Linked DNA regions of Tribolium castaneum. The protein of the gene in region 3 purifies or fractionates together with the protein of the main gene of each other region. This does not show direct contact. Links are inferred from orthologs where the notes say so. Each region holds a gene or a part of one and is shown on either strand. Other genes may lie near its edges. The genes, in order: Snap29, synaptosomal-associated protein 25 and Syx1A.

Evidence for each region.
Region 1: the proteins of Syx1A (region 3) and Snap29 purify together in Drosophila melanogaster (affinity purification with mass spectrometry; 3 studies listed by BioGRID, with this or other methods). This does not show direct contact. The link is inferred for Tribolium castaneum from reciprocal best matches to the Drosophila melanogaster genes Syx1A and Snap29.
Region 2: the proteins of Syx1A (region 3) and synaptosomal-associated protein 25 purify together in Drosophila melanogaster (affinity purification with western blotting; 4 studies listed by BioGRID, with this or other methods). This does not show direct contact. The link is inferred for Tribolium castaneum from reciprocal best matches to the Drosophila melanogaster genes Syx1A and Snap25.

What each region holds. Positions count from the first base shown.
Region 1 is NC_087401.1:16,862,611-16,872,375, forward strand, and holds Snap29 (synaptosomal-associated protein 29), read left to right. Parts: upstream 1-5,371; 5' UTR 5,372-5,465; coding exon 5,466-6,212; 3' UTR 6,213-6,384; downstream 6,385-9,765. Other genes in the region: uncharacterized protein LOC100142142, read left to right, coding at 1-1,219; larval cuticle protein A2B, read left to right, coding at 4,258-4,269, 4,769-5,299; uncharacterized protein LOC135266932, read left to right, coding at 7,457-8,710.
Region 2 is NC_087396.1:11,298,888-11,309,477, reverse strand, and holds the start of synaptosomal-associated protein 25, read right to left. Parts: upstream 6,993-10,590; 5' UTR 6,835-6,992; intron 6,538-6,834; 5' UTR 6,535-6,537; coding exon of another isoform or gene 6,507-6,534; coding exon 6,445-6,506; intron 6,391-6,444; coding exon 6,349-6,390; intron 4,201-6,348; coding exon of another isoform or gene 4,152-4,200; intron 3,781-4,151; coding exon 3,732-3,780; intron 3,439-3,731; coding exon 3,390-3,438; intron 2,164-3,389; coding exon 2,046-2,163; intron 1,985-2,045; coding exon 1,711-1,984; intron 1,068-1,710; coding exon of another isoform or gene 1,005-1,067; exon of another isoform or gene 788-1,004; coding exon 722-787; 3' UTR 1-721. Other genes in the region: PheRS-m (probable phenylalanine--tRNA ligase, mitochondrial), read right to left, coding at 7,201-8,490. UniProt on the Drosophila melanogaster protein: May play an important role in the synaptic function of specific neuronal systems. Associates with proteins involved in vesicle docking and membrane fusion.
Region 3 is NC_087395.1:25,529,237-25,539,726, reverse strand, and holds the start of Syx1A (syntaxin 1A), read left to right. Parts: upstream 1-1,686; 5' UTR 1,687-1,781; coding exon 1,782-1,814; intron 1,815-2,052; coding exon 2,053-2,142; intron 2,143-4,958; coding exon 4,959-5,058; intron 5,059-10,417; coding exon 10,418-10,490. Other genes in the region: GTP-binding nuclear protein Ran, read right to left, coding at 1-19, 72-503.

The DNA.
Region 1 (9,765 bases), on a different chromosome or scaffold from region 3:
GCATTCGTTCCCTTTGTCGCTTCTAGCAACGACGTTCGCCGTTTTGATCCTTTTCCTCCTCAAACGGACGCTGACGCATTTGGAAGTCAAGACGCGACCGGTTTTTCTCGTCGTGTTCGCACTCTTACATATAGTTCTATGTATATGTTTGAGCACGTTTGAGAGTTTCGGCCATTTTGAAAAGGCCAGTCTCATTGTCTGTCGACCGGTTTTCGTCCTCCTGTCATGGGCGCTCGGTTTTAGTTACTTGTACTTGTACCGAATCATTAAAAACGTCTTGGCCAAGAAAAGCCAGAACTTGTCCGAGATGTGCACACAGAACATCTCATATGCGTCGCATATAACAATCGCAGTGGCGCTACTTTTCATACTTTTGGGCTTCGTCCAATTGTATGCATTGTTCTTCATTAAAATCGACCGATTCAATGATGAGACTAAACACCATTGGATTTTGTGGGGTTTCGAACTTTCGGTCCGTTTCCTCGAAATTTCAATAATCACCCTTTTGGCAATCGTGGTGAGCTTGAAAATGTCGCAACGCGAGAAGCAAACCGGGGGATTCCCCCTCTTCCCGTGCACGACCAGCGACTCAAGCACTGATAACATATACCCTAACAATTGTAATACCAACCCCAACGCGCTTAACTACAGCCGGAACGAGATGATTATGGACAACATACCAACCGAACCAGTCGAACGTCCCAATTTGTTAAAAACCGCCTTTCAAAACGACTCCTTCGATAAGAAATCAACCCTAGAACGTTACCATTCCGATTCGGAACGCACTAGCAATTTCGACCGTTTCGAACGCCCGAATTGGTCCGATCGGTTCGATTCGCGTCCGAATAACCACGAGGCGAACTTCGGCCGAAGTTCGGCGCGGTTGAATTCGGCAAAGTACTACACGAAGCCGAAGTATGACGATGAAGGCGGGGCGCAAGAACGTAATATCTATAGCGAACCGGTGGATAATCACCAGTACGAAAGGACGCGGCATGATTTCGAACGCGGGGATTTCGATAGAAGGAGTCGGAATTCGTCGAATACGTCCGGGAGGAGATCGACTGGTCGGACGCGTAAAAACCATGCTCGACCCCATCTCGGGGTGCAAACCTTGCCGAACCACCAGGATTCCATGCTGGTGGACGAACAAGGTTTCGTCAGATTTAGGCACATGCAGGAGGAGAAACCGAGTCAGGGGCATTTTAGTGATGCGTGAAATTCGGGGCTGAGTCGGACTAAAGGGTAGTGAGCCGAGGGGGCGAATTGCAATTAGAAAAAAAGTACAAATTTCGATACATTTTGATGATTTTTGGAGTTGTCAGTGCAAAAAATGGATGCCGGGTTAAATTGGGCTGTGGCGCCCAACGTGGGGCCACGACCAACTAACCAAATCTTTGAGAGAAAACGAGTTTTAAGCTGCAATTATGGTTAAACACACTCATGATGGCATGTCTACTTAATTTTATTGAAGAAATTTGGAGTGAAACACTTGAAAGACATTAAACAACGACCTAACTATACCTAGTTATTTATTGATAATACTCATTTCGTGACGTTTGGAAGCGCAGGGTACTAGATAGCCCCGTTTCGTGTGATTTTAGCAATAATTCCGTTAATTAGAGCTCACTACCCCCGCCGCCCCCGATAGACGGTTCGGCCTAATCAAAACCCACTTTCGCTTTTGACGTTTTAAAAAACTTAGCCATGACAGTCACACGTGTGAACGCGGTCCCTCACGAGGACAAACCTAATAAAGTAAAAATCCACTAATTGTTAGATTATAGTGTATGTACGATTATAATACTTTACGATGATAAAGTAGCAGTGTATAAAAATGAATTTGCAAAAGTGTACATATTTATAATGTTAAGTGACTATATATAATTTTAATTTTTTATATAATTTTTGATAAGATACAGGGTGTTCGTGTTGACAACAAACAAAAAGAACGGCAGCTACTATGACCCGATTTTCTCAAAACTCTTCTCCGAATTGTTTCGTCCCCTGTATATTTTTAGTTAGTTTAGATGAACGGACTGAATTCATGTTATTTATTATCGTTCGGGCTAAATACACGAGAAATTACCGTCCTAATGACCAAAATAGGCGGCGGAAAAATCGCTCGCCAGAGGGCGTCTTTTCCGGCGACGTGTCACAAATATGTAGATGTGTTTTGTTTGTATATATGTATCTAAGCCAATATTTAGCCTTGCCATTTTTAACTGCTGGGTTTTTTAATAACGTAGTAAGAGTTAAGGAAGAAGAATTATTATTTTTGTACATTATGTTCAGTATTATTTTTTTACGTTCACAGTATTTATTATTAGGTTTCCTTTCTCACAAAAGACTTGATTTTTATACATTCCTCGTTACTTGCCACTCTTTACTTTATAATGTTCCTAAGTGACGTACTTATACCAGTAATTCTGACGTTTTTTGCCAGTATTTCTATAACGCCTCTACTTGTATTAGTATAGAGAGAATAACATTTTTTGATTTTTGGTGTCACACAAATGTTATTTTAAACAAATAAACTACAAGATATAAGTGAATCTGGTGATTTTCCAAATGTACAAAACTGATGAAAAATACATTTCGTAAAGTCATCGCTTTATTTATACGAATCGACTTCTATTGTATTATATTATTGTAAAATATAAACTATGTCTAAGCTTGGATTCAATTAATCCAATCCCTTTCACTTAATCCTGCCAGTTTATGTAACTAATTATACAAAGGTGCATTGTGGGTTGCTTTACATTAATAGCTGAAATAATTAAACGTAATTACACTGACATGAACAGTTAAAATCGTTGTTGTGTGTGTTTTACAAAACAGACAATGTCGGAGGCTTTGAATAAGAAAAGCAAACAATGAAACGATTGCTATTATTCCACGTAATTACAGCTGAATACGTCGATATTTCAGCGTATAGGCAACCAGTTGGGCGAATAGATTCGTATCCCAAGTAGGCAACGTTTTGGAAAATTTATTCCGGCCATAATATCACACGTCGTCGCCGTTAAAGTCGGCGAAATTTGCAAGTCGCGATAAAGATCATCGATTTAAAGCATAGGTTAATCCGTTCCATTTCGTTATCGGTCACGTTCCGAAACAAATGGACGAATACGTTTCGAAAATCATAAAGCGCCATCGTTGTGTCGTGGCTCTAAGTTTGATAAATGCGAGGATCTGGACGGAGAATTAATGGATGTGTCACGGCTTCGCCTTAAAAAGGGTGCAATTTGTTTTTTTCCTCATGTCTAGAGGTGGTTTTCCCAAAGAAAACGAAGAAAAATTGAAATGAAATTCTGTGATTGCGTAACCACGCCCACTTCGGGCCGGGAAATTTAAAAAATTTGATTTTCTGCCACTTTCATTAATAATTGACGACCTCGGGGGTTTACCCAAATCTGCGGAATTTATGTACGAGTTGTACGTCTTTGACCCGAAAAGCGATCCGATTACGGGAATGCCTGATTATTGCTATTATTACCCGACTAAATGAATTTATGGCCGGAGGATAACCTTTTTTGTTCCAAGGGAAGCGAAGAAAAGATCCGGAGGGTGATTTATTGGCCCTATAGTATTGTTGGTTGCATAACCAATAACGAACGTAGCGAGTGCGCCAATTGTATTACTTTCAGTAAAATGTTTCTGGTAATATTGACAATTGCAAACATTATTTGAATAACCCGATTTAATCCACAATGTACTACCGATTGCTGTTTTTATTGTGTATTGTTTTTTGTTGTAATTAATTCCAATCGGCAAAGCTCGTCCAAATGTTAAATAAACAATGTGTTTGTTGATTATTTTATCTGATATTAACGAATTAGCGCTCGAACGGAACTCTGCAGCAGACATTAATTATTTGCAGTTTATAAATTATAATAATGAGGGAGGATAACATGTAATTATTTACTAGTTTCAAATTTATTTTGGGTAAATAGAAATATATTGATGGGCGTGGCCAATTCAAGACCAGTCGTACCAACGCAAATTAAGTCAGGCATGAGATCATTCCAGTATCATCTTCACGGCCTTGACTTTTCTCCGTTTAAGAATAAATTCATCGCAAAATGAAAAAGAAATCACAAACACGTTTGTGTGTCCGTGTGTTGTTTCTCAGTCACGAGATTGTGTGAGTGACGCAATTTACCAACTTTCACTCAAAACGCAAATCTGATTTTAGTCATTTTGCCACAACGACAAGAAGTGCATCGGTGTGTTTGACAAAAAAAACGCAATACAATGAATAGAACGGTGAGTTTTTGCCGAATTTTTGTGAAATCTCAAGCCTCCGGCAATCGCCTTGTCCCACTTTCATTCTCTATTCATTCCCAAGACGATTAATCAAAAGTTATTGGCGTAAATATTTCCCAAAGTTTAGGCGCATTCTAAATTTGGGGAAATTGAGTTGCGTGATTTAGTGATTTACGATTGGTGACACTGTTAGTTATCACGTTTCAACGCTGCCAACTTAGAAATTTACAATGACGACGTCATAAAGTTTGGATTAATGACCGAGGCCGCCTCGATTAGAAATGTCGCGTATGTTTACTACCAACAGTCATGTGAATCCATTCGGGGGAATTACCGGATTAATAATTATTAGCCCAGTTGGCTGAGACGTAAACAATTGCCACTAATCGTAAACCTCACGAAAAATAAACCGTTTTATTGTTACGACTCCCCTAAACCGGGCTTGATATTTTAATTAAAAGTCCTGCCAACCCCACAATTTGATTGTTAAAATCCCCAGTTTTTGGCCCTGTTGGCGCTGACCTCGGGGGCGGCGTGCGACGTCGCCCACTTGGTGCACGTCCAGCAAACCGAGCCGTCAACACCGCCGCCGCCCCCAAAGCCGTACGCTTTTGGTTACGCCGCCGGTCGTTTCCCCGGCCACATCGACCGGACGCATTCGGAGGTTTCCGACGGTTCGGGGGTGGTCCAAGGCTCGTACTCGTATGTGGATCCCCGGTTTAAGATCCGCACTGTTGAGTACACGGCCGATAAGAACGGCTTTCACCCGGTTTTGAATTTCGCGCCAGAGCCGCTCCCATCCGACACGCCGGTGGTGGCGGCGGCCAAGCACCGCCATCTCGTGCAGTTCGCAAACATCGCCAACGCCAGGCATGCCGCCCCCGGGACGGTCGTGGTGCCAGTCGACTCGGTGGCGGTGAGCCGCGCCAAGGACAAGCATTTCAAGCTGTTCCAGAAAATCGCAGAGGAGCATGCCAGGCTGGCGGCGGCGCAGGAGGCGCAAGGGGGCACCGAAAAGCCCATTTATTGAATTGTTTAATTGCGAATAAAGTTTTTTGAGCAAGGTGTATTGTTGGTTGCCTACACTAACTGTGATGTTACTAACTCAAGCAAGAAAATCCCCACGTCAGTGTCAATAACAAATGTCAAAATTGCAACTTTTGTGTTTTTATTTATTGTGATATTCCGCCCCCCAAATGTCGAATCCCTACGCCAGGTCCACTAACCCGTTCGAGAACGACGACGACGTCGACGATGAGCTGTTTTTGCGCAACTCGCGTCGGTCGCAAGGGGGCCCCCAGGCGTCTTTCGACGACCAGTTGCAGTCCTTCCAGGAGCGCAAACGGGCCATCGAAGACCGCACCATCAACAGCACGGAGAAAAGTTTGAGTATTTTGCGCGATTCCGAACAAATTGGCATCGCCACAGCCGAAGAATTGATGAGGCAAAGAGAGAAGTTGGAGAAAACTGATAAGCAATTGGATGAAATCAACGCGACTTTGAGATTCTCCCAGAAGCATATCAACGGGATCAAGTCGGTTTTCAACAGTTTGAAGAACTACATGGCGGGGAAAAACGACGCAAGTCCGAGCCCCCCGTCAAAGACAACTAAATCAGAGTCTGAAGATTTGCACAAAGAGTTCGAGCAAAAGTTGTCGACTTATGACCGCTTCGAGAATCATCCCTCAACCAGGTTGAAAAACTTGGATTATAATAATGCGGGGCAAACGTCAGGGAGTAAGGATTTTAGTGCGAAACTGGACGCCAATTTGCAAGAAATGTGTTCAAATATATCACGCTTGAAAAATTTAGCCACGGATTTGTCGTTCGAGATTGACTCGCAAAATGACTTGATTAGCACCATTACTGATAAGGCGGAGACGGCTGATATGACCATCACCAAGCAGAACAAAGATATGATGAGAATATTGAAAAAATCCTAGTGTTTTTAGTTTTTAAAGCGGAAATCAAAATGTTGCACTTTTCTGTCTTGTAATTGATTGTAATACTCTCTGTTTAGTTGATTAGTAATTATTTGTATATTTGGAGCGTAAATGGATCTATCGATTGTTGTTATGATTGCATTATTATGTGAATAAATTCTTTAATAATGAACTGAACTGATTTAAACGCCCCCCCTTCCCACAGTGTTCTGTTTTACCGACATTGTCACACCACACTGACAGCCTATTCTCTGCTGACAGCCACGGGTATGAAACTGGGGTTGCATAAGTGGAAACACGAAAGTATGTGGGCCACCTCCTAGGGTCGGGGAAAGAGGGGTCAAACAGCGGGTGTATAGCGCGTGCTCCAAGCTTCTTTTCCCAAACAGCCAATAAGATTCGTTTGCGCAAGAGCAATTGTGTTTCAATTGTTTCTCACTGTTGTTTTTTCGTGAATAAGGGTCAGAAAAGGAGTTCCAGGGGATGTAAGTAAAAATAAAACTGATTTGTAACTGTATTAATTCAGTTTTGATGTATTTTTAGAGACGAATAACGTTCTCATGGGGTGAAGTGACGAGCAGGACTTAAATTAAATTAACAAAGTTATGTTGTTCCTCGAAAGAAGTACTGCTGCAAGTATCCAGGCTGCAACAACTGGTACTATACATCAACACTCCAGAGGGCTTTGTGAACAAGCACTTTTTTGTGTTTCCAAAAGACCCTACGCAGCATCAACAATGGAGGAACATTTGCAAGATAAGTTCCAAAAATTCAGATTTTTTTAGAATTTGTGAGGATCATTTTGACGAATCTGCTTTTGTGAATGAGAGGAAAGATCGTCTAAATTTCAGAGCAGTACACTCGTTCCCACTGAACCATCTGACATTCATTTACTTGAGGATCTGCCACATCCAGATCAACAAAGCAAAATATTTGAAGATCCTTCTTCATCTGCTTTGTCTGAGGAAAATGTAAATGTTGTTGGTTCTTTGTCTGTTGAATCACCTTCAACGTCATCTTTTGTAAATTTGGCATATAATGAATTATGCAGTTCCTCTCATTCGCAAAGTAGTGAAGTAATAAACAATTCAGATTCCACCATTTCGAACAGCAGCTGTTTAGAGAATCATAATGAAACCTCATTTAATGTAAACAAATTCGCGTTTCTGGATAATCAAGGTAGAGACGGTATTCTAACTAAAATTGGCTGTTCTTCCAAAGATTTGACACCGCGAAAAGAGCTGATGTACAAAGCTCACCGAAACATTCAGTCGAGGTTGTGTAGATTGAGCAAAACATTAGAAAAGGAAAAGGGTAAGGTGAAGACTTTGCAAAAATTGTACGATGCCGGAAAATTCGAGTTCATCACCGAAAATTTGAATGAAGTCACTAAGGCTTTCATTAATTCACAATTGCGAAATGTTTCCTGTCAACCGACCGCGCGCAGATGGACAGACGAGGATAAAGCTTTTGCTTTATCTTTGTACAAGAGAAGTCCGAGATTGTATAAGTATTTGCAAGTCCATTTTCAATTACCCTCTTCCCGCACACTGAAAGCCATTTTAGCTAAGATTCAGTTCGATACTGGTATTAATCCAGGTATTTTGGAACACCTGAAAAATCACGTCTCAAAAATGAAACATGCAGATCGTTATTGTTTGATGAGATGTCGGTTTGTCAAGGATTTCATTATGAACGAGCTAAACAGTGGTTACGAGGACATGGGCTCCTTGGGTCGCACTAACAAAGCAGTCAACCATGCTCTTGTTTTTATGATCCGAAGGTTGAGACTCCAGTGGAAACAAGTAATTGCTTATTACTTTACGGCAAATACAGTTAGCGCGAACAATCTAAAGTTTCTTATTGAAGAAATAATTTCACAACTTCAGAACATCGGTTTAACGGTAGTCGCTACTGTTTGTGATCAGGGCACTACAAATGTTTCCGCGTTGAATCAGCTTTATGCCAAACAACATCCCAGGCAAGGTTCATATTATTTCTTCATTAATAATCAGCCGATTGTTACAATTTTCGACGTGTCGCATCTTTTAAAAAACACGCGAAATGCATTATTGAAATGCAAAATTCAACAAAAAACTTTTAAATCGTTGCCCAAATTAAAGAAGGAGTATTTTAATTTCAAAGACTCTTACATGAAAATGAAGGTGAAGGTAGCCGCTGCACAGCTTAGCAGCTCTGTGGCTGCTGCTATCGAAACCTTCGTCTCTTTTGCACATATTCTGCCGTCTGAAGCCATTCATACGGCTGAATTTGTGCAGAAGGTCGACAACATGTTAGAAGAGCGCAAAAAAATCATCAAACTCACGTACGAAATGGATCCGAGTTTTGGAAAATCGCCAGAAATCGTCAGTTTGATCCGAAAAACCGAGATTAAAATCACAGCTGCAAATTTTTTTGTTTTGGACAAATCAACAATTTTGGACGTTTTGGAAACTATAGTGGCTTTCGTCATCGTTCTGGCACAATTCAGGACTTGAAAAAATAATACTCTCGACTGTATAATTTTTTTTTAATAAATAATTATTTTTTCCCACTCGTTTGAACAAACCCATAAAACAACCCATTTTCGTTCTTCAAAAGTTGGGCAGGTGGGCCAAACTCGGCCACCGTCCCAGCATCCATCACCAGGATCTTGTCCGAGTCCATGATGGTGTTCAACCGATGGGCGATGGTCAGAACCGTACAATTCCGAAACTTCCTCCTTACAACTTTCTGGATAACTTCGTCGGTTTTCAAGTCAACATTTGCGGTCGCTTCGTCCAAAACTATGATTTTTGAGTTGCGCAAAATGGCCCGGACTAGGCACAAAAGTTGCCTCTGGCCCACACTAACATTAGCCCCGCCCTCCAAAATCGTAGTTTCAAGACCTTGCGCCCAATTCGTCACCATTTCCTTAAGTTCAACCTCTTCAAGTGACGACCACAACTGACTGTCGCTGAATTGCTCAAACGGGTCCAGATTTTGGCGCAAAGAGCCCAAAAAAAGCACCGGATCTTGTGGAATTATCGCGATTTTTGAGCGCAAAATCGACAATGGGAGCGTTTTAGTGTCAGCACCGTCGATCAAAACAGTACCATCGAAGTGAAACAGGCGGAAAAGTACCGAAATTAAACTACTTTTGCCAGCGCCTGTCCGGCCAACAATTCCGATTTTCTCGCCTGGGTTGATGTTGAATGTGACGCTTTTGAGTACCGTTGTGTTGCTTAGAGGGTACTTCATGGTCACGTCGTCGAAGAGGATGCGACCATTGTTGGGCCACAAGTCCGATGGTACCGTGGTACCATCGTCTTTTTCGGGCTCCAGTTCCGCGTATTCGACCACACGTTCAACTGAAGTCATCTGGGAGTCGAGTTCGCTCCAGGTTTTGGTACCGTATTGGATTAAGCCCACCAGGGAGGTGGACTGGGTTATGGCCAAGCCAATGTAGCCAACCCACATTTCTGCAAAAAATTTACAGAAATTATTGTGAAATAATCGACAGTTTTTCAATTTTTTTGAAACTAAAATTTACAATTTTTTTATTTCTTTACTT
Region 2 (10,590 bases), on a different chromosome or scaffold from region 3:
AACTAGAAAAAAAGGCTGCATGCCTTTCAGGCTTCCGGTCCTGTTCCCCTAACAATTTTTTATAAACTGTTCCAAACATCAACAAAAACAATTCGTTCTGAACTCGCCCCCAACAAATCAATTTTTGATAGTTTCGAAACTGAGCTAACCGACAGGGCAAGTTCCTTGTGATTCTAGTGCATATACCAACAATATATACAGTTACAGCGACAACCTTATGTACAATGTGGACTCAACAACTTCAATCTTCCAAAAAAACTCACATCACATTTAGTAGGTATATGAATACTTGGTACAAGTTATGTACTAGAGCTAAGTAAGCGCCGGCAATTAGCACCACACCTTGAGAAAATCGCATAAGTAACATCCGTTTTTTCCTGCATGAACTGGGATTTAATCCAAGAAGAGTGCAAATTTTGTGCTTCATCCTAACTAGACAGTTTCACAAAGAGCTAATACGTGTATGTTAAGCGTTCACAAGTGTACGAAATGAGCATAATTAGGAACGTAATTCATTGCATCATATCGCTAAATTAATTTAGAAAAATCGAGATATTAAACGGCTAGCTCTACTGGATGCAGCAATAACCGGCCATGACTTTTTAAATATTAACTATTACATTATAATGATGTTATAGTAATACTCGTAAACTAGTAACACTAAGCCATAACATTGAGAATTGATAGAAGAGTATAAAAGGCGACTTGTGTCCCACTCCCCTTAGGACTTGAGGAGTTTGTTGGCACGCTGGTTTGCCACTGCAATGCGCGTTTCGTTGCTTTCACCCTAACCAACAAACATATAACCAGTGTGCCCCATCACAAAAAACTACAGCCCAACCTGATCCGGCCCCACACTAATAAAACAAGCGCAAATTGCGTCAAAACAACCAAAAACGGTTAATTTCGTTTCTTAAAGTTTCTCCAATTGTAGAAAAATAACAGGAACGGATCAGGCTTGCAATCAAAGTCTGTAAAAATATTAGTGTTTTTGTGTTGTGTGTCTACTTGAGGAGATCGTGGGCACGCTGATTGGCCACCTCTATCCTTGTTGCATTGGACTCGCCCTGATTCGGACCATTAGTAGGTAATGTACGAGTAGATGTAGTGTCGTGAAGTGAACGGCAATGTAAACAAACAACACCAAGATTATTAAAATTCACAAGCAAATCCATCAGAAAATTATTCGTAAATGCTAGCGCAAATCGGCAGAAGCTTTTTGAAAAAAATAAAACGAAAATATTTAGAAACCAATCAAAGAGTGCATTTAACGCTCCAGTGCTCGCAAATAAACACCCCACTGGTTCAAAAAGCTCGACGCGCCAGGCGAGGCTGCTCAAACTCACAACCACAAAAATTTCATTTTTATTTGTCTAGTAAAACAAACAACCATTAAATGGGTCATTTGGAAAAGAAAACATGCCCTTTTTTCTGTGATTTCCTTCTCTTTGCAAGCGGCCTTATTTTAATTATCATTTGTATAGTGTTTGAAACCCTTTTAGCAAAATTAGTATTTGATTATGTTGAAAACTTATATTTGTGGACATGTTGCCGTTTCCAAATTACTGGTTCAGTGCTTCTTATTTGAGAAACCCCCCCTCCAAGTTCGTAACTAACATACTTACCACCGTTAGCGTTTAATTAAATTAAGATAAAATCCAGTGCTAGCACAATATCGAACGAAAACTTGTAAAAATCGGCCGTAGTTACCTTGAGATTGATACGATCGACCTGTCTGTTTTGATTCTCCAACTCTGAGCCCATGTCGATGGCCATGTTGCGCAAATTTCCGATCATGGTATTAACCTGTCCCATGTTTTCTTCCATTTCTTCCTCGCGTGCGTCGTTTGTGATACGTCCGATGTATCCTCCCTGCGGCCCAAGACCGTTGCGATCGTCCATCATTCTCTGCGGCTGATTATTCACGACTTTTCCGTCGTCGTTACCCTTCCAAGTGCCTTCGTCCTCTTTAAACGACGACCCTCTGCGATAAAATAAAACAAATCTCGTGTCGTATACAAATCTAGATCGCCTGAAGGACTCACTTCTGACATGGTAAAACGCACAGTCCGCAACATTTTTCCATCCCCGTGAGGTTCTTTTCGGCTTCTCGCATATCGGCGTTGATTTGGTCCATGCCATCCTCGATACGGTCCAGTTGCTCTGCGCAATATCGACTTCAATAAGCATTTGGACGAGTCCGAGGCGATTTAGCACATTAACTCGCTATAGTTTGAAATGTGTATGCGTTTGATGTGTGTGTCAGAGTTGGAACAAACCGCATGCACATGCCACTATTCTACTCGGGAATCCCCGAATCCAGGTCAGGGACTCGGTTAATGCACTACAGTTCTAGATGTTTTAGTAAGCAGACTAGTATTCAGTAAAATTCATGCTACTCGAGATGTTTATAAGAACGACCTGAGCTGGGAAATATAATAAGAGAACTGACAGTGTGAAATATACACGTTTAACGGTTATGTGAGTTAGTGTTAACTTACTTCGACAGTGTTAATCCTTCATGTATGTTGTTGTCTTTGAATCATGTATTATATTATCCATTACAACGTTATTTTTATTGATGAAGGTTCACGCTGAAGTGCTTTCGTTTCGAGACATTCGAGTAAAATTTTTATAATGTAGGTAAATTTTAAGAGACGAAAGCATTTCAACTGCTGACTGTACTTCATTGATTTGTTTTGGACACGTTTCAGTTTTAGGAGGATATGGGAAAGTTGTGCAGGACGATTTGGGTACACATTTCCTTACTTATCCGTCCCTCGAATCGTTTTATTTTACGCCCGGCTGGCTGCTGTCGTTCGATTTTTAAGCGCCTCCGTGCGATAAATATTTTAGAATTCCACATATTTCATAAAAAACAAACAGTACGAGAACAATAAATAAATTAAACACCGTATTGACATTTTTTTTAAATAAAAAATGCTCCTTAATTATTCACTAAAATATTTCCCGAGGATGTCGGGTTTTTAGCAAACAATAAATAAAAAATATTCTTAGTAAAGTTCAATAATGCGTCCAAATCCAATCCAATAACCCTCTGGACAATTTAGGAAGTAGTTCAAGCGAAAATGTATGCCTGGAGAGGAAGTTAGAAACTTCTTCGAGCATAAATCAAACACAAACTCCTATTGAAATCGAGCATTTAATTAACGGCCTTCAATTATTAACTACCGGCTTTTTTGTAATCCTCTCGCCCTGCACAACTAAGAGACTGTGTCATAAATCTGTATCGTCAGGTAAGATTGGGAGGGCAAAAGTTCAACTGAGAATGTCGTGTGGTTCGGATCTAAGGAGTGAGAATTGTTCAGTTAATTGTGGGTGAATTGGAATATAAAGAGAGACACAGCGAGACTAGATAGTATGCTTACCGCCCTGTTCATCCAGCATGACCAGGGTTTTCATCCCGACCTCGTGGCTCTACAAACATCAAGACAATCAGCTTGGTAACCTGCGTCCGTTCTCACCATGTTCTCCCCGTTAAATAAGTGAGTCAGTTGGGCGAACACAAGCTAATGTGTTAGCCCGACTGGCGTTGTTAGTCCCTTCGACACCTATAGATAAGTTAATCCACCAAACAGAGACCTGTTAGCCCACCACAGGTGTAAAAAATGAAAACAAACTCAACACGGTCTTTGCGAGAAAGAGCGCATTGCAATTAAATCCCCAATAAAGCAATGGTTAATCAACACCTGGACACTTCGAGTGCTTACCGCCTTGATGGTGGAGCATTTCCATAGTCTTGGCGCCGGCATCGGTACTCTACAACATCACAGTGGCTAGTAGCATACTTACACGACAATACACAGCACACCACTAAACCACAACACCCAGATAAATATCAAAAAAGATGTGGAATGAAGCAGAATAACACACAAGTAGTGAAAGCAGTAAGACAAGCTAAAGCCACCATAGCATGCAAAACGTGTGGGAATGCAAAATGTATATCAGTCTGTATCCATGTAAAATACATCACATTTAAAATGATGATGGATGGCGCCACAGCTCGTGACTTAAGTCACAGCCGTGCGTGAATATGATGAGGTATACACAAAAATTTGAGTCACAATGACGGATCTTGGGTTAAATGATATTTGGGTTAAGTATGATAGAGTGAGTGGAGAGAGACTCACCTCCCTGGTCATCAAGAGCGACCAAGGTTCGGATTCCAGCCTCCTTGCTCTACAGCAGCACAAAACAAGTGTACACTGTTTGTTAGTATAGATGTTAAGTGGTACACGCCCGCTACAGATAAGCACTCAGTATATTATTTGTTCAGTTCGAAGAGATAGAGAAGAGATTTATAGAGAGGAAGTTAGAGAGCGAGTGGAATGGGTAGCCCGGCAAGCTGGAGGAGGATGTACGATAAGCTATGATAGAGGCGCGCGAGTCGCGACACATGAGGGTTTCAACAGGATCACCTTACTGTATAACCATAAAATAAAAAAATTAAATGAACACGCAAAACTTCTACAATTCATTTCTGTTGTACTGTCCAACAAAATTACACTTTTTCCGCTTCTTTAGGTTTTTTTAGGGTGCGAATGTAGGCGAATTTTTTTTTTATTTTTAATTTTAGAACAGGAAAGTGACCAACGAATTTAAGATCAATAGGCACCACATACTTTTCAGTTTTCTTCTAAAGAGAAACTGATTGTAGACATTTGACAATAGCCAAAAAGCCGAGTTTCTCAAAAACCAGTTCAAATCTTCAGTCATTTTCATTTCCACAAAAACGATAAAAAAATTATACAGAATGCGATAAGATGATACTAAAATAAGAAATAACAGAACTGGCATAGAAAAAAACGAAACTTGTTTATTTTCTCACATCTGAAGAACGTTTTTAAATAGTAATTTCAATTTTGCATTTTCAAAATTACATTTTTTTTTTTAAAGAACAAACAAATTATGATTTTTTTCAAGTAAACTAAGCTAGAAAATTAATGTATTACTACACCCTAATAAAGTTCATAGAAATTACCAACAACAGCATAAAGTATTTTCGATTTCAGGTCTGTTTAAACCGTAAAATTGTAACAATCAGCGCATACGAGCGATTTCTCCTAATTAATATTTGATTTTTTTTTTAATAATTTGGCGGAAGTAATTCTTAACGTATTAAAAATGCAAAATCTGAAATGGCTATTTTAAAGCATTCCAGAGAACTGAGAGCTGGATTAGTTCTTTCTAACCGGATTTTAACTACAGTTAAAATATTAAAGTTTTTACGTTATAAACGTTTACACAAGATTAACAATTCAATAGATGTTTTTTGCAATGATTTTTTTTCTCACTGAAACAAAAATAAACACTTAAAAACGGGTTTAATTAAACAAAATCTTAATGTAACTGCACGTGAATATAACAAAATGTTCCCATCACGGCTTCTCATGATTATGTTTGTTCTTCAATATCCATAATGAAACGGTTAAAGACTTCAGAATATTAGATATAAGCATAAAAAGTAATCTCCAAATCTTTACACGAAATATTAATAAAAACAGCCATATCCATAAAAAATAATTAAACATGAACGGATCTAACAAGTTTACTGACAGACAAAACAAAACACCAATAAGTAGTTACGAAAAGATGACTATCGGTTAGCAAGGTTGAATATTATGAATTATTACGAGAAAAACGCTATGAACACTAATTTGCATTACGATATAAATTTCGAAAAAACTACAAAGCCAGCAATAAAACAGAAACGAAGTGTAGAAGCCCTTTTCAGTTTAGTTGTTTTAATAGATCTCTGTATGATCATTTTTCTGGAGCCGGTGTTTGAGGTGGCGGTGGTCGGGAATCAAATATTCAACTGTAGTCTGCGAGTGTGTGTGTGCAAAAGTGCGTGTGGGTATTTCTCATATCTGTACACGTAATAACACAGCACAAACACAGGCACACTTGCAGGGCTACCGCTACCACAACATCGAGTCCATGTAAGCACACCGCAACCGTCCCCGAAACCCCGCCGCATTCTTCAGCAGAGCTCGCCCCACGGTAGTCCTGCTCTGCACCGGTTGAGTCGAATCAGAGGACAGAAAAGACAGTGCAAGACATGCAGCACAGAGATACACCAAAACAATTACCAAACAATTTACTCTTATCTCACTGATCAAACTATGCCATCATTGTATGGTAATTGCAACACTTAGAGCAAAGAAGGGATGAGTTTTACGAAAGTCAACTAAAAATAAACAAGATCCTGACACCCCAACTCGGTTCATTTATCACGAAATTACATTAGGGATAAGTCACCTAGAGAGAATTATTAAGATTATCGGTATGGATCTGGGTGGGTACAGCAAGGGGGCGGATATTTACCTCTTCACACAGTGCCAACATGCGCCGGGTGCTCTCCAGAGACTGCAAATGATTGAATATGTTAATCAGGTGGTGCATAATTACGCCAGGTGTTACCTCATCGGTGACTTGCCCAGCCCGGAGCTGGAGCTCCTGCAGCTCGGTTCGGGGGGCCCCATTTTCGGCGACTGGTGCAGGTGCCGGCATTTTCTACGATCAAGAATGACAGAACTGACAAAAACCAGACGACGCACAATCTTTTTTGCTTGGGACTGTACTCTACATTGTTTGACCCGAGAAAATCAATAATCGCGTTAAGGGAACCAAGACGGGCGCGTTCTCGAATTTTCAAAAATAGCCAAATTTGCGATATTTGCATCTCATGACATCATCTTTTTTGCAAAAATGAATCACCAAAGCATCCTATGACACCCGCTTCGAACAAGACACGGCGCCCGGACGGAAATGCCTGATGGTGCGTTACATGAGAGAAACGTTGCTACTTACGCTAGGCTGGGAGTAACACGCACTAGGGGGTTCCTAAACGATTCTTGGGCTAATTCAGCAGTAATAAACAACACTGGGAATTTTATTTCACATAACACCTTGACAGGACAACTGTCAAAGGGTTATCGCATTTGAATGACAACAGCCAACTGAGTGGAGCAGGAAGGGAGATGCGGAGGAACTTAGCGCTTCTGCACATGATCCAATACCACTATGGAGGGAAATACAAATTTCATAGTATTTCTCCCTCGTTTTTGGGTAAAATAAAAACCAACACTTGCCTAAAATGTAATCTTTATTTCGCAATATTTTACAATTATTTGAGCAACAATATGCTGCTTAATTAAATAGGGATTAACTGTGACATTATCTAATCTGGACTCCCAATGTGGAGGCTGCAACTTTGGCGATTTCGCTGTGAATTACATTGACATCGGCCTGGACCAGAGTTTTTTCCATATGCCGGTAGATAATGCGGTAACAGTGACTCGTTTTCCCAAGTTTTGGATGCGTGAATTCGTCCACTAAAACTACTTGTTCAATTGTATCACCTCCAATGTTTCTGGCCAAGTCGTAGAAATCATTACTCGAAAATTCCCTATCTTGTGGTAGCCAAAAACTGAGATCGTTGATACATTGTGGATATTGACTGATTTGTCTATAAGTAACGTCTTCGTCATATTTTACTTTAAACTGGTTTAAAAACCCAGTGTCTTTGGACCAGAAGAGCCGAATATCGGGTATTTTATACAAACACATTGCGACCCTTTCAAGCCCGATCCCGAACGCCCAGCCAATCCTGTCCACAATGCCAGAGTTGGTTAAAATGGGCTGTCTCATTATCCCACATCCCAGCAGTTCTAACCAGTTGTTCTCGTGAAACACCTCCAGCTCCCATGACGGTTGAGTGAACGGAAAATATGTATCAATCCACCTGTACTCAATTGTCTCCCCAAACAGCTCCTTGGCAAGGCCTGCCAGAGTCGTTTTCAGTTCGTGTTCCATCAACTTGACCGCTTCCAGAGTGTGACACGCCTGTTTCTGCTGGGTTCCGGTGCTCTGGGTGTTGTTGCCCACCTCAAAAATCTCCAAGCTTTGCTCTTTGGGGAACAACTCGTCTCGTGTCTTCAGACGAACTGCGTCCACCTGGTGGAAGACCGGGTAGTGCGTTCTGTCGATTTCGTCCCGTCTGTAGACGTCTCCAATCATTAGAAAGTTGTTCAAACCGGCCCTCATCAGCTCCGACTGGTGGGCCGTCATATGCGCCCGCAATAAATAGTCCCGGTTTAGGTAATAACAGTCGCTTTTCAAGCGGGACGGGTGGTCTTTGGGGGTCAGTAAGCTATCAAAGTTTTGGTCTACGGTTACCACCGGGGGCAGGGCGTCATACACTGAGAAAGTTGGGTTTCCGCGGCCGTTGACAAAATTTTTGTAGAAATAATTTACAATTCTTTGACGCACGTGGCTAAGGGGGTGGTGTTCTTTTGTGTGGAGATTGCGACCCAAGTGCGAGGCGATTTTATCGGTGACATTCGTGAAGTCGTCTTTAGCATATGTGGTTTCTAGTAATGTTAAATGAGATTGGATTTCGGGTTTTACAGATGATGTGAGACATCTGATGATTTGGAAATTGCTAATATTTAGAGTTTTCAACATTTTAAAGACCTGTCATCACATTCCTAACCTTACATAACCTTCGAATTTGAAGGCAAAAAAGTCTACAGCGCGTGCGCCTCTAATTTGGCGCAAAAAAATTAAAAACAAAAAACGAGATAAAATCACTCGTTGCAATTGTATTCTATTATATGTTATCCCAAATCATTCTTTTTAACAAACAACACCGTCGAAGGCAAATTCGAAAGGCATTATGATCGTAGTCAGAAATTAAAAAATCGAAACCAACACTTATTCCAAAAAACATCATCCCCGTTTTTAAAACTGCAATAGTTACCTAGCCCAAGACCCCCTTTTACACATTTGGATATTCTGAGACAATTTCCAGTCACTTTTTGTCTTTTTTGTTGAATTTTTTCGAAACGTCATTTGTCAAATTGAAAAAATGCGCACGCATGCGCTTGAGTTGTCAAAGAAAAAAATTGAATTGAAGACCTGTAGACTTTAATGAATTACCGTAAGGCACGTAATGATTGTTGTAAAATTTGTAAGCATTCTGATTGGGCTGTTTCAGGTCGGCCATTAAAATTCCGGAGAAAACCAATCAAATTAGATTTTTAGATTCATTAAGAAATTATATTTATCGCTATGATTGGTCCTCTTAAGGTCGGCCATTATAATAAAGGCAGAAACCAATCATTTCAAATTTTTAGACTCATTCAATATTTTGATACGAATGGTCAGTTTAAATTTGAAAACAGGCAATAAAAAAACCTTGTTTTTTAAAATAAAGAGCCTTCCTTAATGCTTCCCTGAAGTCAAAATTTTGTTTATTCATTGTTTTTGTACCTAAAAATTTTGTTAAAAAAATTCCGTTAAGAATTTTATGGTTTTTGGATGCACTTCTACACTTTGACGCCTTCTTATCGAATAGGTAGTACCTACCTCAGGCTTGAATAAATACAATAAAAAAAAATAAAAAAAAGGACTCATCTCTACGTCATCTACTTCCGCTACAACCCTTTAATCCTTTCAAATGCATTTTGCTTCTACTAAACGACGCTATGGCCTCGCGCCTATGATATCATAAATTATAAAGCAAATAAGAAAAAATTATCAAACATCTTATTTTAAATTAAAAATTACAAATAAAATGTCCAACTTGAAATTGGACTCTTGTCCCTAGAGGTCTAGGGGATCTACCAGCTTGATTTCTTACCTCTAGTGGAGATTCGGAAGAATTATACGAGATTCAAAATCAGAAATCATCATAAAACTTCGAACAACACAAACTGACTTCTTTACTTTACTAAAACACGATTATTTTTCTAAAGCAAAACTTTTTTTTTAATTTGATTTAAAATAGTTCATTATCCCTTTTTCATTCGTGTGACAAAAAAATTCAATAGTTTTCGGCTGTTGCGAGGATTTTATGAAGAGAGAGGGTTTTGTGAAGAAAGACGGCTACTACGCTCCTACACTTTCAAATTTTCGAAGCGACATTATCTCTCTTCATTTTCAGTTACTGACATAAAATGAATAATATTTTTAACTTCTGGTAAAAACGAGGTTGAAACGTAAAATACGAGTAATAAGTGAAATAAGTTGTCAATGCCTTTAAGTCTTTAAGGCTTAATTTTTTTAGAATTGACCATCCTAACTTAAAAACACTAACTGCATATCCCGAAATTCCAAAAAAATACTGAAAACTCAATATTTTACTGGTCAAAATTTCACAAAAATAGTAGAGATTCATATAAAAATGCAGCTTAGTTGATAATTTTCTCGAAAAATGTACCTAAATTCTTAAATACGCCACTGTAGCAGTTAAAAATGTTGAAATCGATTATTTTTCTGATTCAAATTGGGCACAATTAGCTTATAAAGGTGTCCTGAACGAGAAGATCACGAAAAAAAGAGGATGTAGCTGCATAGTTTATTATTTTTGGTGAGAGTGGTGGTGAAAGAATTATTGATATGGCGTGATAGCTATCGGAGTTTCCCACTGTACGCAGAGATATCATAGTGGGTGAAGGTCGTCGACTTTCCGTCTATTCCCGGTACGTCGCGGCGCATCGGATCCATTGTGAATGTAAAACGGGGAATTGTGGGAGTCGACGGGATCGGGATAGTCGGCTGTCA
Region 3 (10,490 bases):
TGGCGGAGATATCGTAGTACTGCAAAAACAACAAATTAAATGACGTAATCTCACTTTTTAATAATAATCACCTGAAGGTTCTTCTTCCTGTGGAACACAATACTTTTCGCCTTGACCTTGCGGTCTTTGATGTCGACTTTGTTGCCGCACAGCACAATGGGGATGTTCTCGCACACCCGCACCAGGTCTCTGTGCCAGTTGGGGACGTTTTTGTAGGTGACTCGCGACGTGACGTCGAACATGATGATGGCGCACTGCCCCTGGATGTAGTAGCCGTCGCGCAGCCCCCCAAACTTCTCCTGGCCGGCCGTGTCCCACACGTTGAACCTGATGGCCCCCCGGTTGGTGTGGAACACCAGCGGGTGCACCTCCACGCCGAGCGTCGCGACGTACTTCTTCTCGAACTCGCCCGTCAAGTGCCGCTTGACGAAGGTGGTCTTGCCAGTGCCCCCGTCTCCGACTAGGACGCACTTGAAGGTCGGCATTTCCTGCTCCTGGGCCATGTCTGGGGGCAAATCACCGCTGATTTTGGGCGAACACAACGATCTTACCGAAGCACGTTTCGCAAAGTTTTAATTTTTGTGGGAAATGGCGCTATGAGGATGTTACACAGGATTTTGGAATTGAGTTACCGACTTTGCGAATATTTTTCTCTGGAAATGGGGACCATCGCGCGAAAATAACACCTGGAATCGCAAGATTGGCTCAAAATGTAATTACCTGCGTGGTAAAAAACTCCAATAAACACAGATGAGGACGAAAAGAACGGATTACTTCTGCTACTTCAGCGAGTCGTTAGAGACCACAATGGCGTTCCCTTCGAAGGTGCGAATGGCCGATTCGAAGCCCGCCCGTTTCGCGCAACTGGCCAAACTTAAACCCGATTTTCGCCCCAAACGACTGGGAAAAATCACAAACTTACTTAGCTCGCGTAAAATTCAAATCCGTGTTGTAATTTTTGCGAAAATCGTCCCCGAAAGTAAAAATTCGGCGCGTGACGTCACGGAATTCGGGCGCATGCGCGTTCGCGCAAACTAGCGTCTGGCCCGTGCCGGTCTACAAATGTTCGATCAGTCGAAATGTTGCGAGCGAGGTCGGAACAGTACGAACGGAGACCATAACGGACTTCTCATTTCAGCTGGGCATATTGGAATAGTGGTTTTTATGGAAATATGTTGCGCGTGGCTGGGGCTTCGCCCCAGTTAACTAAAAGGAAACAAACCCCACGACCAATTAAACTCGAAAACGTGGAACTCGAAACGTGGAATAGTGTTTTTTTATGGAGCTAGGGTGGCGTACAGTTCATAAACATAAACACTATTCCACGTTTCGAGTTCCACGTTTTCGAGTTTAATTGGTCGTGGGGTTTGTTTCCTTTTAGTTAACTGGGGCGAAGCCCCAGCCACGCGCAACATATTTCCATAAAAACCACTATTCCAATATGCCCATCAATGCCGATTGTTAATGTAATTATTTTTAAAATACTCAGAAAACTCTTTAGACTTAACCAGCCCAGCTGAAATGAGAAGTCCGTTATGGTCTCCGTTCGTACTGTTCCGACCTCGCTCGCAACATTTCGACTGATCGAACATTTGTAGACCGGCACGGGCCAGACGCTAGTTTCGCGCAACAGCACTGCAGCTCCCTTCTATCGATTTTCGTGTTCCGATGAAAGTGTTGGGTTTCTCGGGTCTAGTTTTAGTGTTTGTGTTAAATAATTTGAATGGGATTCATTTATAAAACACACGTTTTCCGTGCGGTGTGATTAAGCCTCCTCCAAGATGACTAAAGACAGATTGGCGGCCCTTGTCGCTGTAAGCATTTTTCCATCACGCACACGTTCGCTAATTCGCCACAAATCCAATTAATTCGGTGATTCACCAAATGTTCCCAACAACCCCCAACGAAAATTCCGGGGTTTCCCCGCCGAAATCGCGATTTCGCTTGGATCTAGTGGCAATTAGGTTAGGTGGACGAAGCGTTAGTCTTTTGTCATCGCCCCACCCCTTTGATTTGTCATTTTTCCGATAAAAATTTTGAAATTTTTTGCAGGCCCAGAGCGACGATGACGACGTCGGCCCCGACGATGTGGCTGTCAACGTCGAAGGCCGCGACGGCTTCATGGATGCATTTTTTGGCGAGGTAATTAACCTCGTTTAAGCGAGGCGGCCCTGTACACTTGTCAAAAAACGCAGCCCACTTTGATCAGGTCATGGCACCTGTTAACGAGGGTGAATTTGCCTTTTGTTCAGTTAGTAACGACATTTTTCCCTAATCAGGTCATTATAAAAGAGATGTTTCATATGACGCGTGAGTCATTACCTAATCTGATCTAATCTTCATCAGATGTTATGATTAATGAAAGTGACGTTTTTGCACGTTAATCTCCGAAATTCACTGTTACCAACCACCTGCCGGTCAAAGTGGGCCATGACTTTGAAATTCAGTTGCCAGCATTGACCATCAAAAAACGTCACAATTGACAATATTGCCAACTTAATTTCGGCCGGAAATCCAGTTTATCCTGCCGCTTCCGTCATGAAATATGTGGAAACGTCGATTTGCATGTAATTTGCAATTTGTCGAATTTGAATTTCAGACAGTTTTAATGTCAAAAACGCGATTTTCGTCAATAAATCTCGCCGAAATAAATAAAACCCCAGCGCTAAAACAGTGCTCTAAATTAATTAAAGTTTCCTCTTTAGTATGCATGATCCCTGTTTAGGGATTTCATCCAATTTGATTAAGAGTCAAGGACGTTTTGGAAAAATTATAAGTTCTGGACGAGATTTTTATTTTATTTTTTTACGTGTCTTTCGTAGATGACGCGGCTTTTTTATTTAATTATCGGTTTTATCAGAGAATTTATTGAAGGCTGCATGACTCATTGTTGATAAATAAAATAGGCAAATAAATAAGTTAGTGTCGTTTGTGAAAAATTTCAACACTTAATAAAAATTATACGACGTGATTATGGGTCAGGTGTAACACGGAATGGTTTTTTGCCTAATTGATGAACGGGTCGTCGTGTGGCCAAAACTAGTGTTAAATGAGTTTTTGTTTTGTCATTTCGGTCACGTGACTGTTAATTAGACTAATTTGTTTCGTTGTCGATTTTTTTAATTTCAAAAGCCACCTGTCAATGAACTGTTTCAAAGTATGAGCACAACTATTATTTGTGCTCGTTTGTGATTCACTCGTTGCTTTATTCATGAAGTTTTATCGAATACATTGCGTGAAGAGGAAAAGGAAAGGACTCGTATAGTTGTGGGTTTATCTAGTCGTTCAGGCTTAACAAAGGACTCATATTTTGCTCACAATAACAAAAATTAATGAATGACAACTGTTTTTTTTTGGTATGTTTATTTAAATTGAAATTAGAGGACGCACGATATTTTTTTGCTTCGATAAGGAAACTCGAGTGCATTTCTTATCTCGGTGTTTTAATTGGTCGTCAAAAAAGACAAACAAACGCCCGGCTTTAAACTGCGACCAATTGGGACACAGTTGTGACTTTTTGTTGTGTGTTCTTGCGATTTCTGATTGGTCGGGATTTACAAGGCAAACACTTGACCAATTAGGGCCGTGCAAAGCGGAAAGAAAACCAATTGAATTAAATAGTGCTCAAAATTTGACGTATTGCTCTTTTTATCTTCGGATTGGTTCTTATCTTTACAATCTATTTTGAATTATAAATGAGGTCCAAAAAAGAGAGCAACGAAACGTGCGTCTGATTGGCCTGTCTTTATTTTTAACAAATGATTGGATAAGAATTTGACCAATTAGAAGAGTCGTCTGTTGGAAGCAAACACCAATCGAAACCATTTATTTATTGTCAAAAAGGAAATATGAATATTTATTTATAATTTTAAAATTTACATTTTTATTTTTTTTTTAAAATCAAATCATACTTTTTTTAAGTTTTTTTATACGACTTTTAATACTTTTATCCGCAAACGTGACTTGAATGCTTCTTTTCAACCATAGAATAAAAGTTCTACTTTTGTGCCTAAGTATTTTTATTTTTACCAAAATGTTTCCCACTTTATGGAAAATTTGACGTGTCACACGTCGATTTCTTGTGATGCAGCAAAGATAGAACCAATATTTAAAAAAAAACTGTCATCAATTTAATTACGTTTGTAGAAAAAATAATATATGTTATTAGGCTTGAACTACGTTCGGCAAAATAAATATACAGTTTTGTCATATAAAGTATTAATACATCAATAAAAAGACTTGTTATTGAAGCAAATTGTGCTGAAAAAAAAAATTAAACGAGTCAAAAGATACGAAAAATGATTACTTATTGATGAAATTTGAGTTAAAACTGTTAATGATTGAGGTGGATTGTAGTAATTATTTTGGTTTTTTACATATCCACATTAAAAAAAAACTACAAATTTCAAAAGTTGTTATTAATTTGAGTTATGGAGATTAAATCGAAATTATTTGTTTTTTGTCAGAAGAGACCAATAAACGGGCAATAAAGTGCAACAATGGGTAAAAATTGCCGTAATGTCGCCTTCGGCAAAGTATCAAAACGAATCGAATTTATCGCTGAAAAGCGTCGAACATAAACGTTGCCAATTTATCTCGCAACGATCTCCTGTTCGCATATAACACCACTTGAATATTTTTTTCGTGTCAACGCCACCCTCTTTAGCCACATTATCTCCATAGCCTTGGAGGTGATATTATTTTACACGATAACAGCACTAAGGCCATCCTGTGCGATGGTTCCCCGAGGATGTACTAATGTCAGCAGCTCTAACGCTACATAAACATAAATTCTAGCGTTATTTGCGAGTTGATGAAATTCGCCAAATGTGCAACAAGTTATTGAAACACTCTCATTGGGGATTTGCAATTCGAATTGGTAGATTAACCAAATGACAATCTAATTTGGTCGAGGGGCACATCAAACAAATCCCTTAATCCACTTTCTTTTGTTCTAGGTGGAAGACATACGAGACATGATAGATAAGATCCAAGCAAATGTAGAAGAAGTGAAGAAGAAACACAGTGGTATACTTTCAGCGCCGCAAAGTGATGAAAGTAAGTCGTAACATCAGCATTTTACGATTCAGACTCTCCGAAATTGAATTTTTACGCCTTGTACTGAGTTTTGTCGTTAACTAAGTAGTCATTTTTTCTGTGGAAAAAATCGCGTGTCTTGCAGAAAACGAGATTACAATCTGTCGTCGACCCTCTTGCTTAGTCACGCGAATTATGGATTGATTCGATCCAGACTTGCTGCGAATTTTGTAGATAGGTTCAGGTTGTTGCATTTTTTCTCCACCGAAAGATAGAAAGGTTGAGAGGAAGTCGGCGCGATATCGACCGCTTGCGACCTTTCGCACAGGATGTCTTTTATCAAAACGCGGTCGCGAATGTAATAATCGAGGATATATCGCCAATTTACGAATTCAAATTGTGGAAATGCGCGGGAGTGGCGAGGGCGGGCTTACTCACATTTATTTAATTGCAACTAAATGTGAGCGTAATTAACAAACACAGCCTGATGGAATCATTCATAACTAAATATAGAGACAAATGTAGAAATAAAGTCGGAAAAACTCGCGTGACTTGACCTCTGATTAGAGCAAATCGAGTCTAAATAGCATTGTTAGCTAATATTAGTCACTGGGTTATTTTTTCTGTTTGAAAAATGGTAGTTTTCATAATAAATAATCGTTTTTGTATGAAATTATCCCAGACATCCAGTAAAAATTGTACTGGTTTGTAACGAAAACCTTATTAAAAATATCAATATGTAACTGATTTATTTTACAAAAAAACGTCTAAAATCGAAGGAAGTTGAAATTTGTGATATTTTTGTGCAAAATTGTATTTAGTACAAGAATTTTACTTAACAAATATGTGCGATATTTTGTAAAGGACATCGAAAAAGCACTAAGTTATTAAGTCTAACAATACATCATTTATTCTTGTTTTTCAAGTGTTTAGCATATTTTCCAGCTAGATACTTAATTATTTCGCAAAACTTTCTTCAAAGTTAAAACTAAGCTTTAAAATCACTGAAATAGACCAAAAATTATAATATTTTTGTCTTTTTTATGAGTTTAAGCACATTTTTTGAGTTTCAGAACAAAAAATTATGTTTTTTTAACGTTTGATATTTTATTTTGCCAGGTTAAATTTTTGACTAGGTTCACTCGATCTAGCTCGTTTTTGGGCGAAGTCTTTTCTAAAAAACTATAAAGTTTGGTAAAATGTGTTATTTTTATATTTTTCAAGCAAATAAACACGTGTTTAAAAATATATTCTCAGTTTCTTTTGAAAAATTGAGTGAAAAATCACTATATTTTGTTGAATAATTATATTTAGAAAAGGAATTATCTCCAATATTTTCTAAAAAACAAGCCGAAATTTTGCCAAGTTTGATCGAAAATTGTATGAATTCGGCGTTTTTGAAATTTTTAAACACGTTTTTGAGAGAAAATCTACCTTTTTTAGAAAAAAAATTACTAAAAATAGGTGTATATATTATTTTATCACTTTTCAACCAGAAATTCTTTTATTGTTCAAGAACTTTTTACAATAAAAATGTTAAGCTACTTTTGTTTTTTTTTTAACATACACCTTGTAGAACAAAAATCTCAGTTGTTTTTTGAGATTTTACTAGAAAATATCAAAAAATCACCAATTTACATACAAAATTTTCTAATTTTTTCCGTTTTTGAGCCCGTTATTCAGCCAGAAACGCATTTATTTCGCAAAGTGTTGTTGAAAACAGACTGAAAAAGCTGAAAAGTTAGCCATTTATACTAGAATTCGAGTCTTTTGAGGTTAAAACTAAGTTTTTTCCGAAAAATTTTCCTGAATTTAGATGAAAAATTACCGAATTACATAGAAAAAACCCCAAAAGTTAATTAGTTTAATAATTTTTATTAGTGTTTTCACGAATTATAACTTTTGTTGTAAATATTGTCACAATTTTTATAATAAAGAGGAGAAAAGGTTATTTATTTGTCGGAATTGTCGGATATTTTTTTCCGATCGATAAGATTAAACAATGAATTAGTTAAAGTAGTGGAATTGTTTCGTAACATTTTCGAAATTCCGATAAACCCTCTTCCCATTGATATTATTTCGAGTGGTTTTATTAAACAAATTGTTGCGCTAAATAACACAATTCCAGCGTCGGAGATCAAAGCGTCCGCTCCATTATTGCAAACAGCCCAATTATTACAATTAACTCGGACGCTTCTCACTCACTAACATTCAAACAATTTTTTTCGCACATTTCTAATCTAAAATCCAATAAACGTGCCCGCTTTAAAAATAGAAATCGCACGTAAGTGTTGATTGAAATGAATTTATTGCGTAATTCGAGGAGCGTATTTTGGTGGAGGCGCCGGTTTTAATCGAACTTTACGCAGAAATGGACGCAAATGTTTGTTCCATTTTGATAAAACCAATCGTTATAGTTTCGGATGCAACTCCTACATGTTTATAGTCTCGCCCACACGCAAGACAAAAAGTCGGCGAAAGATGTTTATTGCGGGGGCGGGAATGCAAAGGTCGCCGAACATTAATCAAAAGCCAGAGAAAGGCGGAATTTTTATTGAGAGAATAACAGTTTTTGACAAATTAAATCCCCCTGTTGCTGTCTTAAAAATTTAATACTCGCCTCGCCTCGAAATATCCGCACTTAATGGCGTCTCAAGACATGAGTTATCATCTGAAAATTGGAACGTAAAGAGAGGCAAAAAATTCGTCCAAGGCGAGAAACGAAGTTTCATACGAAATCACGATTCTTTCGGGACTAACGTACCAAAAGCAACAAATATGAATCGGGGAAACTTTTCGCCAATTACTCGGCTCGAGTTGAATGAAAATACGCCGATCGATGGTGTGCTTGTCAAGGGCTAAAATTTTTTGTGCCCTAGAGTAAATCTAGGACTCGGTCGAGATCAATAAGGGGTTTAAGGACGTTACGTTTAGGTATTCCCTAGTTTATCATCTGCGGTAGCGCGAGAGAAAGCAAGCGGGAAAAGTGTCCCTAGATCCAGACACACGATTTATTTAAATCTGCATACAAAAAACACCGTTTAATTCAAACTGGAATTGCGGAAATTTACAACTGTTTGCCTGGACGCTAAGATCAATCGCGTTAATGCGATGAAAGAATCATTTATTTAGATATTAAATGTAGTGTCGGTAATAAAGCATGAGAACCTAACCACTGGTCGTTGAATCGATCGTCAACAAATACATTCCTATTGTTGGAAAAGTACTTAACACACAATACGCTGAAATTAGCTCCTCGAAATCGTTTTTTTTTGTGTTAGGCGACATTAAAAGATTCCCTATTTTTGGCCGATATTAGCGTATCTCATTAACCGAGTTTTGAAACGAGCTGCTTAAATATTTAGCGCAAATCTCGAGCTGAAAAAAAGTTTAATAAGAGCATTCCCGGTGAAAAGTTTCACGCCGACGAACAATCTCAATTTATATTGTGATGAATGGGGAATAAACCGAATTGAAATACGAGGCGAGATTTTCAACAAAAAGTTACGAGTTTTAAGCCAAACTTTTACGTCTGGAACATTAAAACACTGGTTCGAGGCAAATTTGATCGACTACGAGTTTTTTCCGTGACGATTTTTGTAAACGTAGCGAAGTGTTTCGAATGGAATTAGCTTTTTTACGTTATTTAAACATTTAACCACGGCTTGAAATTTTTTGTAACCGAAAATGTAATAACATGAAAGCATTTTCCTATCAATTTTAGCACGTCTTTAAAACATAAACGCAATTTGTTCGCGAATCTCGTTAAAAAGAAGCTGAAAACTAGTTATATCGAAAATAGTATTATACATATTTTTGATATTTTGAAGCTAACAGCTGTTTTTAAAAGCAAAAAAACTTGCTTTTTCCATATATTCCAAGCCAAATGTGAAAGGATTCCTGTTGTCCGAATGAATTGAAATTTTGCATACTTACGTAATCTGCGTGACAATGTAATTCTTTATAGTTATTTAGTCCCTAAAGGGGTTAAAGGGGGATTAAAGTTTAAAATTAGTTAAAAGCTGCTTTTTACTTTGCAAAATATCGCTAAATTTGACCGAAAAATTATCACAATATCTAGAAAAGTAGGACATTTTGCGTGTTTTTTATACTTTTTTTCTTTAATTTCTTAAATTAGTAGATTATGATAGAGAACTAAAGAAAAAAGACAACAAAAAATTTCTAAAAAAGCAAATTTCATCAAAACTTCTTAAAAATTGAGCCAAAAATAATGTTATTTTTGTCATTTTCAAGTAAAATTTCGTCAAAAAGAAACCCAAAAATCTTCAAATTGAATCTGAAACGCTGTTTTTTTGGTTTATTTACGTGTTTACACCAAAAAACTAAAGTCCAAAAAGAGTTTTTTTTAACTTTTTTGAGTTTAAAACGGCAAATTTCACCGAAAAATTATAATAATATAATAATACTTAGTTCTTTTTCTCCCAAATGTTGGCTCAGAAAAACTATTCCATCAGTTTCTTTCTTCTTTTTTGCTTTTCTAAGTTGGAGAATTAATGATTTTTCAAAATATCGTCAAAACAAGTTGAAAATTGAACCGAAAATATTGTTACTTTTGTTATTTTCAGGCCTTTAAGCTCGATTTTAAGTTAAATTTTTGCCTAAAACCATCCATTAGAATCACTTTTGATCATTTTTTGCTAAAAAAATACTAAATTTTGCAGATTCTGACAGTATTTTCGTCCTTTTAATTGATTTCCGAATGTTTTTTTTTGCTGAAAACGGTATTTTTGTCTAAATTATGTCAAAGAGAACGCTAAAAATTCACTAATCAGTATTTGTAACGGATTTTCGTCTGAATTATTTCACAAAATTTAATAAAAAAGTGGTGTTATTTTTGCCTTTTTGAAACTTCTTTAAGCCAATCGTGGCCTAAAAGCATTTTCCATAGTATTAGAATTAGCTTCAGAGACGGAGTTTCCCGAATTTCCGCCTTACTTCCGGTTACGTTCTCAATTCACAATGCACAAAGTTCTAGATTTCTAGCAAGATAGCAAGTTGCTTTCAATGGTATCGAGCTGCTTGAACGGATCTCATAATTTCATATTTTATACATTTATCAATAGTCGTTCAGATGCAAATCGCTTCCAAGTAATAAAACGAATTTATTTGTTTGATTTTTCTCCGGTACCGCCAATTTTGAGTTAATTGAAATATGCTGAGGGAGGTGAATTTAAGTTGGTTAAAAATCGCCTCGTTCCCAATTCGCCGTTTTATTGACAGTGAATTAATCAAGTCGATGACTTCCATTTTTACCTGTTGTAGTAGTCCAGGTGAGGAGCGGGCGTTTCACCTGCTCGTAGAAATCGATTATTGACTTGAATAATTAAATGCGATGTAATGTAATTTTTCTTAATTTCAGAAACGAAACAAGAACTTGAAGATTTAATGGCCGATATCAAGAAAACTGCCAATAAAGTCCGTGCCAAGCTTAA